Pelodiscus sinensis: one gene and its partner. Each later gene encodes a partner of the first gene's protein in a complex. Links are inferred from orthologs where the notes say so. Each region holds a gene or a part of one and is shown on either strand. Other genes may lie near its edges.

What was found.
Region 2: the proteins of DNM1L (region 1) and MIEF2 are in contact, whole or in part, in a cryo-EM structure (PDB 5WP9), measured with the Homo sapiens proteins. The link is inferred for Pelodiscus sinensis from reciprocal best matches to the Homo sapiens genes DNM1L and MIEF2. Residues at the interface, in NP_036192.2 of Homo sapiens: Asp190, Met191, Ala192, Thr193, Ser194, Leu197, Lys198, Ile199, Arg201, Glu202, Gly223, Thr224, Asp225, Asp228, Arg233, Val234; in NP_631901.2 of Homo sapiens: Val213, Asp214, Thr215, Val216, Arg218, Arg226, Leu230, Arg235, Val245, Gly246, Tyr248.

What each region holds. Positions count from the first base shown.
Region 1 is NC_134711.1:105,496,785-105,504,332, forward strand, and holds the start of DNM1L (dynamin-1-like protein), read right to left. Parts: upstream 3,010-7,548; 5' UTR 2,873-3,009; coding exon 2,771-2,872; intron 1-2,770. UniProt on the Homo sapiens protein: Functions in mitochondrial and peroxisomal division.
Region 2 is NC_134726.1:34,201,258-34,209,261, reverse strand, and holds the start of MIEF2 (mitochondrial dynamics protein MID49), read right to left. Parts: upstream 3,005-8,004; 5' UTR 2,757-3,004; intron 198-2,756; 5' UTR 191-197; coding exon 44-190; intron 1-43. Other genes in the region: FLII (protein flightless-1 homolog), read left to right, coding at 4,350-4,412, 6,699-6,809. UniProt on the Homo sapiens protein: Mitochondrial outer membrane protein involved in the regulation of mitochondrial organization.

The sequences.
Region 1 (7,548 bases):
CAATGGGAGGAGACATGGCAGCAGAGAGAAAAAGCAGAGGTTTATAAGATACTTATTAATAACCTGGGTGATATTTATTAATAACTTATTAGTAATTACTGTTCTTATTCTTATTAGGAATTTATGCCATTAAAAAAAACCACTTTGTGGGGGAGCGTGGCAAGTCCCTTTTTTGTCTGGCGAGTAGGGTTTTCCATAATTTATCAACCCTTGGCCATTACGTTTTAAAAGGGTCACTATCTCCCCAGGTGGCTCTGCCTCTCCTCCTCCCCCCGTTTTTGAACTACCTTGGGTCACCAAGTCTTCCTGAATTGTCAAAATGGGTCCCCATCTCGAAAAGGTTGGGAACCGCTGCCCTAAAGCCTAGAGAGAGGAACAAGCTTGAAAGCCAGAGATCCTGCCTGAATCTGAATGTCTATATGTTTATTTTTAATGCTTCAGCTCAAGCTCCAGTCTGAACACACAGGCTCAGACTCACGGTCATGAGATCCTGCTTGTGATGGAGATGTACCAATCCTGCAGGTGAGTCCATGTAGCTAGATCCATGTAACACAGCTGTACCCATGGAAAGCTCCACTGAAGTCAGCAGGGATTCAAGAGTCTGTTCTAAGGATGTTAAAATGTGGTTAATTGACTAGTCAACAGGCACTTCCACACTCCTCCTTTGAAGTGTACAAGAGCCCCCGCAGGAATGCAGAACTCTGCATACAACCTGGGGCCAGAGGGAAGTCCCTCTGATTCTGGGCTGCACACAGGTGCCTGCTTTGAAATGCACAGGAGACCCCAGGGGCTCTTGTGCATATCAAATACATGGAGCCCAGAATCAGCAAGAGACTCCGAGTCCTTCGGGATCAGCGCTGCAGATTTTGGGTTCTGGAGAAATGCCACTGGGAATCCCCAGCTGATCCCAGGCTCTATGGCAGCTACCCCTTTAAAATGCCGCTTCTGGCATTTCAAAGGGGTAGCTGCTGTGGAGCCCAGGGTCAGCTGGAGACTCCCAGTTGATCCGGGCTCTGTGCAACAGCAGAACCCAGGGTCAGCTAGGGACTCCCAGCTGATCCCGGGCTCGCTGTGGCAGCGGAACCCAGGGTCAGCTGGAGAGTCCCCAACTGTGCAGCACTGCCACTTTTAAGTACCTTTCCCCCCACTGCCTCTCTCTCATAGAGGCAGCGGGGAGCAGGGGGGAATCGACTAGTCAAAAGACTATCTGATAAGTTTATCGGATAATTAACTAGTCTTTAACATTTCTAGTCTGTTCACGTAGCTATACCACAAAGTAAAGCCAAAATATATAGGCACTGCCTAATTTCTATTCCAGTTGCTATTATCATTACAGGGATATGGTCAACTTACATAGCTACGGTAAACCTTTCCTTTTTAACCCACAGAGTGCCTTAAATTACTACATAAAAATGAAAGGTTTTTAAAAATTGAATTTAGTTGGTAACTAAATATGTGCTTCACTTTCTGCATTCTTCCAAGTGTAGAAAATGAAAAAAAAAACAACAGTTCTACTACTGTTAACTCCTTTCACTTTCAGTGTCCTTGTACTCAACACTTGGGTTTCAAACACAGCTAGGGATGTGAAAGATTAAGCAAAATGCAGGACAATGTAGCACTTTAAAGACTAACAAGATGGTTTATTAGATGATGAGCTTTCGTGGGCCAGACCCACTTCCTCAGATCAAATAGTGGAAGAAAGGTTGTGACTACTTTCTTCCACTATTTGATCTGAGGAAGCGGGTCTGGCCCACGAAAGCTCATCATCTAATAAACCATCTTGTTAGTCTTTAAAGTGCTACATTGTCCTGCATTTTGCTTCAGCTACCCCAGACTAACACGGCTACATTTCTATCACTACTCAAAGATTAAGCTGTAAGCCTTGCCCTTAATGGGTGAAGCTTACTGGTGACAGGGTAAGGGATAGGGGCTGGAGCTGGGGGCTGAAGCAGCAGAGCCACAGCAGGCCCAGCTCAGGCATGCAGCAGGGGTGCTCCAGCCTGGCCAAAGAAGATGGAATAGCGGTTTGCTTCAGACCCCCCCCCCTCCTTTAACTAATTACATGGGATTTTACACCCCTACACTACACAGGAAGCTTTTTCTAAGAACTATTTCTCAGTCTGATCAGGATAACTTAGGAGCGGTCTCTAGTTTGATAACTTGCCTTAAAGAAAATGATACGCCACCCGTAAGCAGGTAGCATGCCTTGAAATAATAGTACGTTTAAAAAAAAAACAAAACCTATTAGCAGGGCTTCACTCAAACAGTCATTTGTTGCAACGGCTTTGAGCCAACCCCGGGTTGTGGTTTTTAAACCCTTGCACCCAGGGGCCATGTACCACCACAGAGTCACATACCTGCAGGGGATCTTCAACGTCCCCACGTGAGAGGAGAGCAGAGCGACGCGGGGGGGGGGGGGGGACGGACAGATGTTGCGTTAGGGGGAGGCGCCTGGCCAGCGCCGAGCTTCCTCCTACACCCCCCTTCCCAACGGCGCGCGCGGCCGCAGCAGCAGGAAGGTCAAGCCCAGGCTCGAGCGGGGGCCTAGCGGCGGGCCCGACGCGGCAGGCGGGGGGCAGCAGCGCAGTCACCTTCAGCGGGCGCCGGCCACTTCCCGCCCCCCGCCGAAAGGGGAACAGCCCTGCCGGGGCCGGGCGCTCCCCTGGGGGCGGGGCCGGGCGCCCCCGCAGGCTGGCGGGGCCCACGCGAGGCCAGCCCCCCCCATTCACTCTCTGCTGCCCTTCCCCGCGCAGGGGCCGGGCCCGCTCACCTGCGTCCCCACCACCACGATCTGCGGCAGCTGGATGATGTCGGCGCCCACGGCGTTGAACACGTCCTGCAGCTTGTTGATCACCGGGATCAGCGCCTCCATGGCGGCGGGGCGCGCGGCGGCGGCGATGAATGGAGCCCGCGGCCAACGGCTCTATCGCCTCCTGCTCCCCCCTCCCTCGGCCGCTCTCCACCACGGGCGCCGGCCCCGCGCCCAGCTCGGCCTCAGCAGGCTGTGTGCGCGCGCGCGCCGCCCGCCCTCCGCGGGTCGCGGCCGCCGCAAAGCCCGTCGGGAGTTGTAGTGCCCCGCGCCTGGCAGCGGCGCCCCCGCGTGGTTCCCAGCGGCAGCGCCGGGCGGAGCAGAGGCGAGCACCCCCTCTGCGGGAGCGGGAAAGAAATGTTACCCCCGCCGCCTCCCGCCATAGACCGCCAATCAGCAAACAGCTTCTGTGCTACCGAGCTGCTGGAGCTGCTGCGGATGGGCCCGCTCCAGGTTGCAGCACGAAGAGCCGCAAAAGCAGGTGTATAGGCAGAAAGTGCTACTCAGCGCCTGTACTGTAACAATTGGTATTAATAGGACAGGGGCACTGGAACGAAGTCGCTGGAAATCCCACGACTAACCCAACCTCTGATCCTGCTCCAGCCGTGCAGTAGGTCTCTGGTGCCATGGGTTACCCCTGGGCCCCAGGGGCCTGGTCTACCCAGAAATTAAAGATTACTTTGTTTAAAAATTATTCCTATAAGATTACAAAACGACCAGGAATTAATCCAACCCCACTATGCAACTCTACCCTGCAGTTTCTGCAGCACGTTTCTTCTCTCTATGGCAAAGCCCGTCACCATACTTACAAAATGCCCTTGTCCCTTTCCAGGGTACAGATGTTCAGTAATGGGAAAGAAAAAAATACACTACTGAAGATACCCCCTACCCCAAAAAAGTTTTCCTCAAACTGCTGCAAGACTACAACTGTGCACAACTGCAAGTTTTCTTCTGGTTGTAGGAGTTATTTTCAGTAGTCACTGAAAGAAAGTGGCACATTAGGCTACCACACAACTCAGAGACTAATGAACCCCAATCAGCACAGACAGTACAATAGAGAAATATGTACACAATGTCTCTGAAATGAACTTCTAGGAGAAAATCTGGTTGTAAAAACAAGTGCATATCTATGCTATAATTTCCATTGTTTCCACAGATGCAACTGCACCTGTTGCACATAGACTTCAGCCGTGTATAGCGCTCTATTAATACAAGTAACGAAAAATGATTACATAAGCATTACCACTGAAGCAACTTGTCTGAGAGCAAGTTGTTGCACTGGTAAAAGGACATTGACCTTGCAAGTCATCCAAGGAGGAAAAAGAGGGTAGTGAGAGGGATATGAAAGTACCATAACAGAATAAACATTAATTTTTGTAACTGTCACATTCAGATACTGGTCTAAAATTTCACCAAACCAGAAGTAAAGCTGAGGAAGTGTTCCAGCTCAGATCCATTGTACCAGGACTCATGAGGGCAACTGCTTGTCATCTTCTCTGCATCATTCTTATTCCCAGTCAGTAGGATGTATTTTCCAACTGCATTTGGATTTACTATCTTTTTATGTTTTTACAAGTGAGGCATCTATTATAGCAACATTATAACTACTGGAATTATTATTTCACAATAAAAGTTTAAGGCAAAAATGAACTAATTTTAAACCAACATTCATGGAAGAGAAAGTTAAAGCCAATGCAACTTAAGTGCAGAAAATTGTACTTGAATGACTCTACTCCGTAAGGAAAAGTCCAAAAAAGTCCAAGTTGAATATATTATTTCCAGTAATGATACAGTAATCTGCTGTGATTGTCCTATAGTGGCATCCATTAACTTTTGGAGCACAAACTCAAATATTCCTGCCAGGAAAGAACACTGAAATACTGAACCTGTGAATACAGGTCTGGCTCTGGCACACCACACAGATTCATTCTTACAGCAACCTCAGCTCAATGCTTCACACAATTCTTGGCCACTCTCCTGTTTTTTCTTTACTGGCTGAGTGGCTGACATTCCCAGTAAAGAGAAACCACATGGAACCCACCTTCCCGTTAAGCAAGAAGATAGAAAGTTTTGCATTCCAATCAGCACCCTGAATAGAAGACACCTTTGCTACAAAAGAATGGAGGCTGCTGCCATCTGAAACATATTCTCTATGGGCATGCATAAACATGGTTCTTTCAAAAAAAAAATACACCCTTTCCTATACTCATTTTTGGAGGAGTACAGGATCTTTTGAAAAAGGTTTCCACCCCCACCCTGAAAGATTCAGGTATACATAGCAGTTTCACTTTTGAAATACCCTTTTTCAAAAGAATGCTGTGATGTAATTATGCAAATGAAGCACAGGATATTTAAATTCCCACTTCATTTGCACTTTCAATCTGCCTAATCTACATCCCTCTTTTGAAAGAGGGATGTAGTTAAGACACCCTGTGGTTGCGTCTAGATTGGCATGATTTTGCGCAAATACTTTTAACGGAAAAGTTTTTCTGTTAAAAGTATTTGCGCAAGAGAGCGTTTATACTGGATTGTGCCTTTGCGCAAAAGATTTGCTTTTGTGCAAAAGCATCCATGCCAGTGTAGACGCTCTCTTGTGCAAGAAAACTCCGATGGCCATTTTAGCCATTGAGCTTTCTTGCGCAAGAAATCAACTTGGCTGTCTACACTGGCCCTCTTGCGCAAGAGGGCTTATCCCTGAGTGGGAGCGTTGGAGTATTTGCGCAAGAACCACTAATTTTGAACAGTACAAAGTCAGTATTCTTGTGCAAATACTCGCGGCCAGTGTAGACAGGCGGCAAGATTTTGCCAGTCTGGACGCATCCATTGTGTCTGTCTGTCTGCCATTGTGTCTGTCTCTTTTCTTCTATTAGTTGCATTTCTGACACTTAGTGGCTTGTGAAGATCACTGACAAGGCAGATACAGACTGTTGCAGGAGTGGGCAATAACTTTTGACCAGGAGCCACTTCAAAAATTTCTGAAATTTTTGAAGTGGCCCAGAGCTGCCCTGGAAGGGGCAGGGCCTCAGACAGACAGAGTGGGGCCCCGGCACTTCCATCCTTCCCCACCCACTTACCCTGATTGCCTCCCTATAGAACTGCCAGCTGATAACAGCTGGTGGTTCCCCCTAGGTACCTCTGCTCCTGGCCGTGGGAGGAGTCTTCACATGCTCCTCCTGATGCCCCCAGCTCAATCAGGGCCTGGGAAGGGGGAGCATATGAAGTCTCTCGTTCCCTGCCCCAGCCCTGCAAGGGAGCACCCTGCTTAGAGCCAATCACCAGCTGAGCAGCAGTTGATTTAAGTGCTGAGCCCCTTTCAGGGCAGGAGGAAACTTCACACTCTCCTTCCACCCCTAAGCCTTGATTGTTCTCAGCAGGTGGAGCGCATGAAGTCTCCTCCTGCCCTGCCAGAGTGGAGGCAGAAGGGAAGAGAAGATCTTTTGGGAACTAAAAAGACACTGGAGACATCTAACCGGAGAGGAAAATTAGGAAGGGGAGGAAAAATGAATGTAGATGGAACATGTACAGGAGGGATTAGTCAATTCATCAAAAAGAGAAAGGAAAAGGCAAACAAGGTCACAAATGTTTGTGTCACTATATTTTATTTTTGTGTCAAAGAACTGGGAGTGGGAAAAGAATTTTGTTTTGAGACATTGAAACTCTTGGTGACTCATGAGACACAGCACTTACCTCAGTCCAGTTACAGCAGAGTCCACAAGAAAATCTCAATTTGCTCTAGCTGTCTAAAATATAGATGTCATGGTCACATGCCCCCATGCTTTATGAAAACTGGTTTATAAATATGAATATGCATAACATGAACATGTGTTATGCAAAAGAGATCATGTAGCATATTTTCAAAATTGCAGTCTGCTGAGTCTGTATATCGTATTTTTGTGCGTGTATCATTCTTGTATGCGAAGCTGGAAGTCCGAAGTGTGAATCTGGTTTTAACTGTAAATGTGCTAATGAGGTCCATTAGTGATATTTCAGGTACTTAATGGCTCAGTATTCAAACCGTGACCCATAATTATTTCTTGTAAGCCCAAACACGAGGCTGATCCTAGAAAGACATGTAATCATGTCACCTCATACTGTGTAAACAATTGTCACTGATAAAAAAGGCTGACCTTATGAGCTTTCTCTGTGTAAGTTTTACACAGAGTAAGATTAAATTATTTTAGCTTTTGGTTCCTTTGTGGGGTTGGTTTCCTGGGTGCTACCAGCAGCGTTATAGCTGAGTCCTCACAGAGCTGAGCAGGTTCAGCATCTGTGGTGTTTTGAAGGGTGATTGTAACCCCCAACTCTATGCCTTGGCTGGGGGGAATCAGAGCTTCTGGCCCAGAGGGACAGGGTTGTGAGGATCCCCAGAAGGCAGGCACCAGTGGCTTGATCAGCACATTGGAGGTCAAGCTGTAATACAACCCATCACAATTAAAATTAGGTATGAACAGATTGCGCCCACGAAAGCTCATGATACCATCTACATGTTGTGTTAGTCTGTAAGGTGCTACTAGACTATTTGTTGTTTTTTACTTGTTTATTATTAGCTAATTGAAATTAATATAATGGCAATTGCCATATTGGATCAGACCCAGGGTTATCTAGTTCAGTATCTTGTCTTCAACAGTGGTACCACCAGATGCTTCAAGTGAAGAACAAAAACAAAAGCCAAACCCCAATAACTCACCTTCCCCAAAACAACTAAACAAACAGATATTAGATCATTTATCCACTACATT
Region 2 (8,004 bases), on another chromosome or scaffold:
CCGAAGGGACACTAGTTTATCTTCCAGAGGAACCCAGACTTACCCGTTTCACCACCAGAGTTGCGATGGCCAGCACAGCAGCACCGCCCACCCCAAGCACCAGTCTGGCATTGGCCAACAGGAAGTCAACAGCACCACCCAGCCCGTTGTCATCCCGCCTCTTCCCCCTTTTATGAACCAGCTCAGCCATGCTCCACCTGCAGAGAGAGAGAAACACACAAGGTGATGCACCTGGGGTCCAAGGTGACTTGGTGGAACCTTTGGGAACATTGAAGAGCATGGAAATTTTCCTTCCAAAACGATCTACTCGTTTGTGGAACAGCATCCCTGGGGAAGGAGCAGATGGTCCATTAGCTGCGACATTTAATCTAACTGAGACCAAGCAGGGAATGGACCTAGAAGATCTCTTTGGCCCTTTGATAGCTTCTTCACACTTACCTTCCTGGCTATACAGAATTGCATCTCCATTTCCCCCTTCGTCTTCCTTATCACGGCCTTCCCACTGAGCTCCATGCCTTCCTCCCCCCAACCTAGAACTGCCTTCAAGTTGTTAGAACAGTCTCAATAACCAACACTTGGTGATCAGAGAAGTTTTCCATTTCACACGTTTCTGCTACATTGTATCCCCCACAAATTACTGAACCCTGCCCTGTAAATGTGACAGAGACAATGACACTAAAAAAAAAGGGAGATTATTTAGTGCAACAGGGTTTTCTGACTTGTGATGGAAAATTAATTGACTGAGATGGGGCTTGAATTCAGTTTCTAGACAAGTTTGTCAGTTTGAAGTCGGTAGCCCAAGCAGGAGGCCGGGAGTTCAGAATCCAAGGTTCTCTTCCAGACCACTAGTGATACTCTGCTGTGCCACGATCAAGTCACGTGACCTCTGTGACTCTGTTTCCCCATCTGCAAGATGGGAAAAATAACCCCGTGGGTCATGAAGCTCCAGATGAAAGGACACAGGGAATTACAGAGCATCAAACGGGGCTCCCATACAAATGCACTGTGGGCACGGTGTAAGATAACTCAAGGAGCTTCAAGTCCATTCAAGGTAAAGGCACCTCACACATCCCTTTGCATGGAGATTCTGCTGCCATCAGCCAGTGAACAAAACAAGGGTGTGAACACCTCACAGCCCCAGCAATCAAGGAGCCGTCTGGTCCTACTTCCACCCAGCTTTATCCCTCCTCTCAGTTTAACAGTGCAAACTTACAATCCGTTTCTTCCCAAGCCGCTATGCATTATTCACGCACGGCCCACAGAAGAGACCACCATGCACGTCACTTCTCAGGCCAGGCGCGATTCTTCCCCACTGATGCTTGGCAGCAAATGGGCCACAGCCAAATTCTTAGACCCCTGCGGCATCGGGACAGTGCACAGTGAACACGGCAGCTCAGACTTCTAGAGTTTGAAACCCACACTTCATCTGTGTCCTTTCCTCACATGGCAGAGACCTCTCATGAGTAATGATCCCAGTATGACTCAGTTTCACCATGTCACTATGGGAACAGCTTCTTAGGGGCTACAGTCTCCGGGAATTAAGAGCTCAAAATCTACTTCCCAGCTATAGTTTCTGTTTCAGAATACACGCTCCAATGGGCAAGGACCAACAGCCCCAAGTGTGGGAAGGCTGGTTCCAGCTCCCGGGCCCTCCACGGGGCTACAGCAGCCCCTCTGTGCACATCAGGCTGCTCCCACGTACTGGGTAACCAGTTCCCCAGTCACACCTCTACTGGGAGGCATACCTATTGCCCCAGCAGGCGCTCTGGTACAGCCGCACACAACTCTCACGAGCAAGAATGCCAAGCGGGGCTGTGCTGGGAGTTCAAGCTTTCAGGTTTTTTCCAGTGAATAATGGAATGGTTTGAAATAGGCCCAACAGGGCAAAAACTGGATCAAGGAATCAACAAGGCCCTGAACATGTAACAGGCTCATCAAGGGAATTGGGTTGGAGGGTAGAAATTCGTCTATTAGTCCCTCAAACATAAACAGAGGCCAGCACCGATCCAAATTTATATTCCCATCTGCAAAACTGCTCTGCAGATATTCGCACCCACATCTGTGGATACCCATAGGTATAAAGCAAATAACGGCAAAGTAGCAGGGTTCTCGATACCAAATTTGTATCCGTATCTGCCAACAAGGAGCCATGGATAGCCGTAGATATAGTGTGGCCAGAGAGCCAAAGGGTCTCAACGCCAGATCCCAGCCGGGACTGGATACGTGCTGTCAGAAATGCCCAGCGGCCTTCTTTAGCTGGACAGGAAATAGCAAAGCTGCCCCCACCTCCCGCACCCTAACTCAACGCGCCCCATCCCCTTGTGACACCAGCCCAACCTGCGCAGCTACGGAGGAGGAACTGGACTTTGCTCTCCCCACACGTGCCCTTGCTGTAAAAAACAAAAGATAGCACGTAGACAGCGGCCTGGATCACAGAAAGCTGCCCCAGCTGTGCTCCCCCCCAGGCCCGGATCACAGGGCCCCCCTCTCAGCTGTGCCGCCCCTCACCGGGCCTGGATCACAGGGCCCCCCTCTCAGCTGTGCCGCCCTATCAAGCCTGGATTACAGGAACCCCCTCAGTTGTGCCTCCCCTACTGAACCTGGATCAGGCCCCCCAGCTGTGTCGCCCCTCCTCCGGGCCTGGATCACTGGGCCCCCGCTCTAGATTCTCACACCTCGTTAGGCTGCCCCCCAGACTAAGCCAGAGGCCCCGGGAACTCACCGACAGGTGCCGGGAGCGGCGCGGCCGCACTCACCTTGAGCAGCGAGCCCCGCTAGGTCAGGCCATGTTGCGGCGGGGGAAGGCGGGTCCCGGCAAGGCCCGGGCCCCGGGGGCTGGAACAAGCCTCGGCCGGCCCCGCGGTTACTGCAGCAGCGGCTCCCCTACGGCCGATCCCCAGCGAACGTCGGCGACAGTCACATTCGGTCGGGCCGAGGCGGCCAATAGGAGCGCCCGCCTGTTGTCCCAACGTTCCGAAATGTAACGAGAGCCTCCGGTTGCCAATTGCGCCCCGCCCCTCGCCTCGGCTTCGTCACACGTGGGCGGAGCCCGGCAATTCTTCGCCTTAAAGGCGCAGCGGGACAGAAGCAGGAAGGGGTTGAGGATGTGGTGGGGTTGGGGGTTTCGCTTAGTCCTACCCGGGTAGTAGAGGGGCCTATATGCAGAGCTGACAGAGACTCCGCGAGGGAGGGGGGACAGTGCAGAAATCCGCCCTGGACACCCCCTACCCTGTCACCACTAGGAACAGGGATCCTAAGGCAGGCATTTGCATCCTGTGGGCCTTCCTACAGCTGTCACCTGCAGGTTCCCTACCCTTTGCTTGCTTTTTTGGAGTGAGCTGCCCTGCGAATGGGAGACGGGTGTTCAGTGCAGTTTTATGGGCCCAGGATCTTCCTGGATGTTCTGGGTTTGGGGTAGCTCAGAGGTGGCAAGAGTATCTAGCCCCAATCCTGGAACAGGATCAGCCCACTGGGTTGAGTGCTGTGCAAACACAGAACCAAAAGAGGGCCCCAGCCAGCCCCCAAAAGCTTAAGATCTGAGTAGGAGACGAGGTAGCGGGTAGATACAGAGAGGGACCCCAATGAGACAGCACTGTGTTATTAATTATTAATATTTATTAATTATTGTTAATAACCTGTCTCCTCTTGTCTACATAGGCACGGGCCTGGATCACAGGGCCCCCCTTTTAGGGTCTCACCTAGACTTATGTAGCTGGGCCTATTGACTGTAATGCATTTCATTAAATGCAGACAATTAAATGCATTACAGTCAATAGGCCCAGCTACATAAGCCTAGGTGAGACCCTAAAACCTGATAACCTTCCTAGGCTCTGTAACCCTTGATGAGAGACCTACAGTGGGGTTCTAGCCCCAGTGGGCTGTCTTTGGGAAAGCCCCTTGCCTCAGTTTCCTTTGTGTGATACTGACCTTGCTTGTAAAGCCCTCTGAGATCGGCCAGAGCTGGCTGTAATTTTCCTAGCAGTTTGCCCCACTATCCTTCCCAATAGTATTAACATTCTCTCGCCCTCCCACTGTTCCAGGGGGCTCCAGGAGAACGGGGGGGGGGGTAGTAGCCCCTTAAAAGCCTTCTCAGCCGCAGGCAACAATGAAGGTAGAATGGGGCAGGTTCCCCCAGGACCACAGAAAGGGGGATTCTCCCCCCACAGGGGTGGAGGCAGGCAGCTGCGATCACGTCTCCTCCCGGAGGGGGCTGTTTAAAAGCAAAGCTCCCTGGGAGGCTTGCAGCGCCCCTGGCAAGGAAGGGGTTAAAAGAGCGAGCGCAGGCTGGGTGTCAATGCAACACGCCCTGCCCTGCCGCCGGCTGGCTGCAGCTGCTGCGGAGCGGAGCAATGGCTGCCACCGGGGTGCTCCCCTTCATCCGGGGGGTCGATCTGAGTGGGAACGACTTCAAGGTACCGCAGGCCCCCCCCCCACCCTGGGCTGGGCTGCGGGCAAAGCCCGGGGCTGGGCGACAGACAGGGAGGTGGCTGGGCAGCTCCCAGCCTCTAGGCCCTGCCTGTTTCCTGCCTGGCTAATTTTAGACAGTGGCTCAGCCCTGGCTGCACTGTGGGGCCTGACATCCCGCTGGGAGGGGGCCGAGCTGGCCTGGCCAGAGCAGGGGGGGTTGCCAGAGAGGCCGGGCAATTTCAGAGCCCCTGGTTCTGGGGGGTGATGGGCCTCCTGGCTACAGACTATGGGTCGTTTTTAAAGTTTTTCCTGTTCCAGACTCACTCGCCTGCCCCCCTGAAACATTTTTACTCAGGGCGCCCCGCACTGAAACTAATCGCATCTCCTCCTGGTCCCTGTGAGGAGGGGCAAGGATTCTGTAAATCAGCCCTTCTCCATCCGCGGCGTGGGGGACCCCAGCAGGTTTCTAGGGTCCGAGCGAGAAAGCCAAAGCTACTCTGGGTGGAGTTGAAGTTTATGGGCACCCCCGGACTGAAGTTGAAACCTGAGAAACGAAGCGTCATAGAGCCCCTAAGATGTGGGGCCGGGGCCCCTTCTTGCTGCCCCTGGCTTTTATATGCGGGAAAACAGTTGTGCTAACTAACACAGCTGGGCCATGGAGTTTGTATAGCTCTGGGGAAAGAGGCCTTGGAAGGAAAAAGATGGCGAGCTGCTGGTAGAAAATCCCTCCTAGAGCGATGAAAGGGCTTGCCCCAGGTCACGCTGGCAGAATTGGGAATGCAACCCTGCTCTGATCCCTCACTTGCTTTGCCTCCTGGGATCTATTTCCCCAGCCTAACCTCTGACCAGGGGGTGACCGTGCTGCTGGATGCTGGTGGTCCTTTGGCTATGCTCTCTGGTCAGCCTGTTTCCCTGTGCCCATCGCTTGCCCTTGGCCATGGTGGTTTTGCTGGTCTGCGTGTGACTTAAGTGACTCAGCCAACTTTGCCCGGTGCTGTGACGTGACCCACAGTTTGGGCCTGTATAATCTCCCTGTGACACTAAGGAGCTATGAGTCCATGTGCTGCACTCACGCTGACTCCTACCGTGTGTGAAACTGTAACCGGGCCAGGCAGAGAAATGAGCTCATGCCGGCCCTTGCCAGGCACCGCGTCTGAGGAGCAGGATGGCCGCTCTGCCGGCCCTGGATGGGGCATGCAGAGATGCTCCCTCCTGTGAGGTTAAAATTCAGGTTCTTCCTTTGCAATTACCCTCCCCCAGCACCGGAGCCCTCCCATGGCAGCGTTGGCAGATCTGCCCTAGAAGGCTGTTGATCCGAGGAATGGCCCTTGGGCGCGGCGCATGCCGGTGGGCCCGCGTTGGTATGGTTTGGGGTGGCGCAGGGTTTATCTCTGCGATGTGGCTGTGGGGGTTGTGAAACCTGCCGCTAAACAGGCCCTTCAAATGCAGTTGCACAATCTGGGTTAATCTTTTTGCATGGGAGAAAGGCCCTTTCCTGCAGGTGCGTGGGTCTGCCTGCCCCTCCTCTCCCTGGATGGGGAGGCTGCTAGTTAGAAACCTTCCACCAGCGGTAGCAAAACGCCTGCTAAGGCCAGGCTCGCACAGTGACCGACACTGGGGCACAACACCCTCGTGGGAGGAGCAAACTCCTGTGAATGAAGCTACACGTGTGCTTGAGCCTCGGCAGAATCGGGGCCTGCGAGTGTCCGTCCACGGGATTCATGCTGCCTCCCAGCCCCCTAATCTTGCATAACCTGCCCGACCGCTGCTCCGCTCAGGATTGGCTCCCAGGGCAGTGTGGGGGAGGCAGGGGGGCAAGAGAGGCTGCTGCCCGCGGCAGACCCAGGTTTGCTGCAGACAGAGGCTGCTCCGTAGGATGCTGGCACAGCCTCTATCCGTGGCGAGCGCAGACCCCTGCATACAGGGTCTGCTGCTGTTCTGCGCTGCTGCCTCTGATACAGAGGCAGCCATGTGGGGCGGCGGGGGGCTCCCCGGTGTGAGTCCCCAGGGACTATCAAATAATCGTGTGACCGCTAAAATGCTGCGGTTCCACGACTATTCGATTACATGGGATCTAACATCCCTAGTTACAGTAAGTCCCGCGCTGTTGGAACAGCCTGTCACATTGGTGCATTTGGCAGGGATCCCGGAAAAGGGGCCGTGGGTGGTTCCCCTCTGCGGTGTGGGGAGGGTGTTAAGAGCACAGGATCCTACCGCCCCGTCTGGATGAGAAACCCGTTTCCCTGCCCAGCGGATGCCCAGCGTGGCTCTTTCTCTCTCCCGCCTCTCAGGGTGGCTATTTTCCGGACCACGTGAAGTCCATGACCAGCTTGCGATGGCTGAAGCTGAACCGGACCGGCCTGTGCTACCTGCCAGAGGAGCTCTCTTCCCTCCAGAAACTGGTGAGAGTGGCCTGAGGCCGGCGGTGCCCAGACTGGCTGCTGGGTGCTCCTTGGGAAGCTGCCTTTGGGGCAGGGGTGCGTATAATGCAGGTGAGCGCATGGAGTCGTTGAGAGCCCGCGGCAGGCTTCAAACGGAGAGCAAAGGGGCAGGTAGACCCAGTTGAAAGCTGCCCCTACGATCATTCTACTGGCTCGTTCTTCCATGGCTTTTCATCCATGCTTCTCTCCAAGAGCTTTGCAAAGGTTCTCTCCATTCCACAGCTGGGGAAACCGAGGCACAAGGGGGCGACGTGGCTTACGCAAGCTCACTGAGTCGGCCAGTGGCCCAGCCAGGAATAAAACCCTTGTGGTTTGGACTGGTGCTCTACCTGCTACACCCACTGTCTCCTCTGCAGTGCATTCCTGCAGGTGTACACACACACACACACCCTCTCTCTTTCTTTCTCGCTCTCTAAGGACAGCCTGCAAAGGCTCTTTAAATTCCATTCCCTGTCCCCTAGAAATGCCAGGCGCATCAATCCCACTTCTTAGTTTTCCTGAGCCCTCACGACTTGGTCCAGGGGCTTGAGGGTGGAACTTTAGCAAAGACAGGGATGCTGGAATGAAACCAAGAGCGGAGTTCCCCTCGGCTGGGCGCTGCGCAGTCTGTCTCTCTCTCAGCCGCGAGGCTTTCCCTGTCTTGTGAGAAGAGGCCTGTGGTGGATTCCCCGTCACTTGAAGTCTTAATTTCAGCGGGGCATCTTTCTAGGAGATCTGTTGTCGCTCACTCAGCAGTTCTGGGCTTGCTGGGGGACCTGCTCTGGGGTCCTGGGGGGCCTGTCTCTTCTCCGGAGCTCAGATCAGGCAATCCAAAGGCCTTCGAATCAGTGCATTTGTGTCAACTTTACTAGTTCTCCGTAGAGCCTCCCTTAGTAGATCAGTTCTGAATAGCTAATGGTGCCAGCAAACTCGCTTCCTTCCTGGCCTGCTGTCTGCTATAAAGCAGCAAAAACGGTCTCCAATCCCCGTTCGTTTTTTTTTCTTCTTTATAGATCATCTTTAGCGGAAACCCTATGACCAAAGCCCCAGTGAATCCCATTGCCCGGGTGACTCCTGCAGCTAGCCTGACATCTAGGACAGCAGCGTGTGCATCCCCTCACTCCTGTGAATGGTTTCCGGATGTCGGTGTGATGACTAGGGATGTTAGACTAGTTGA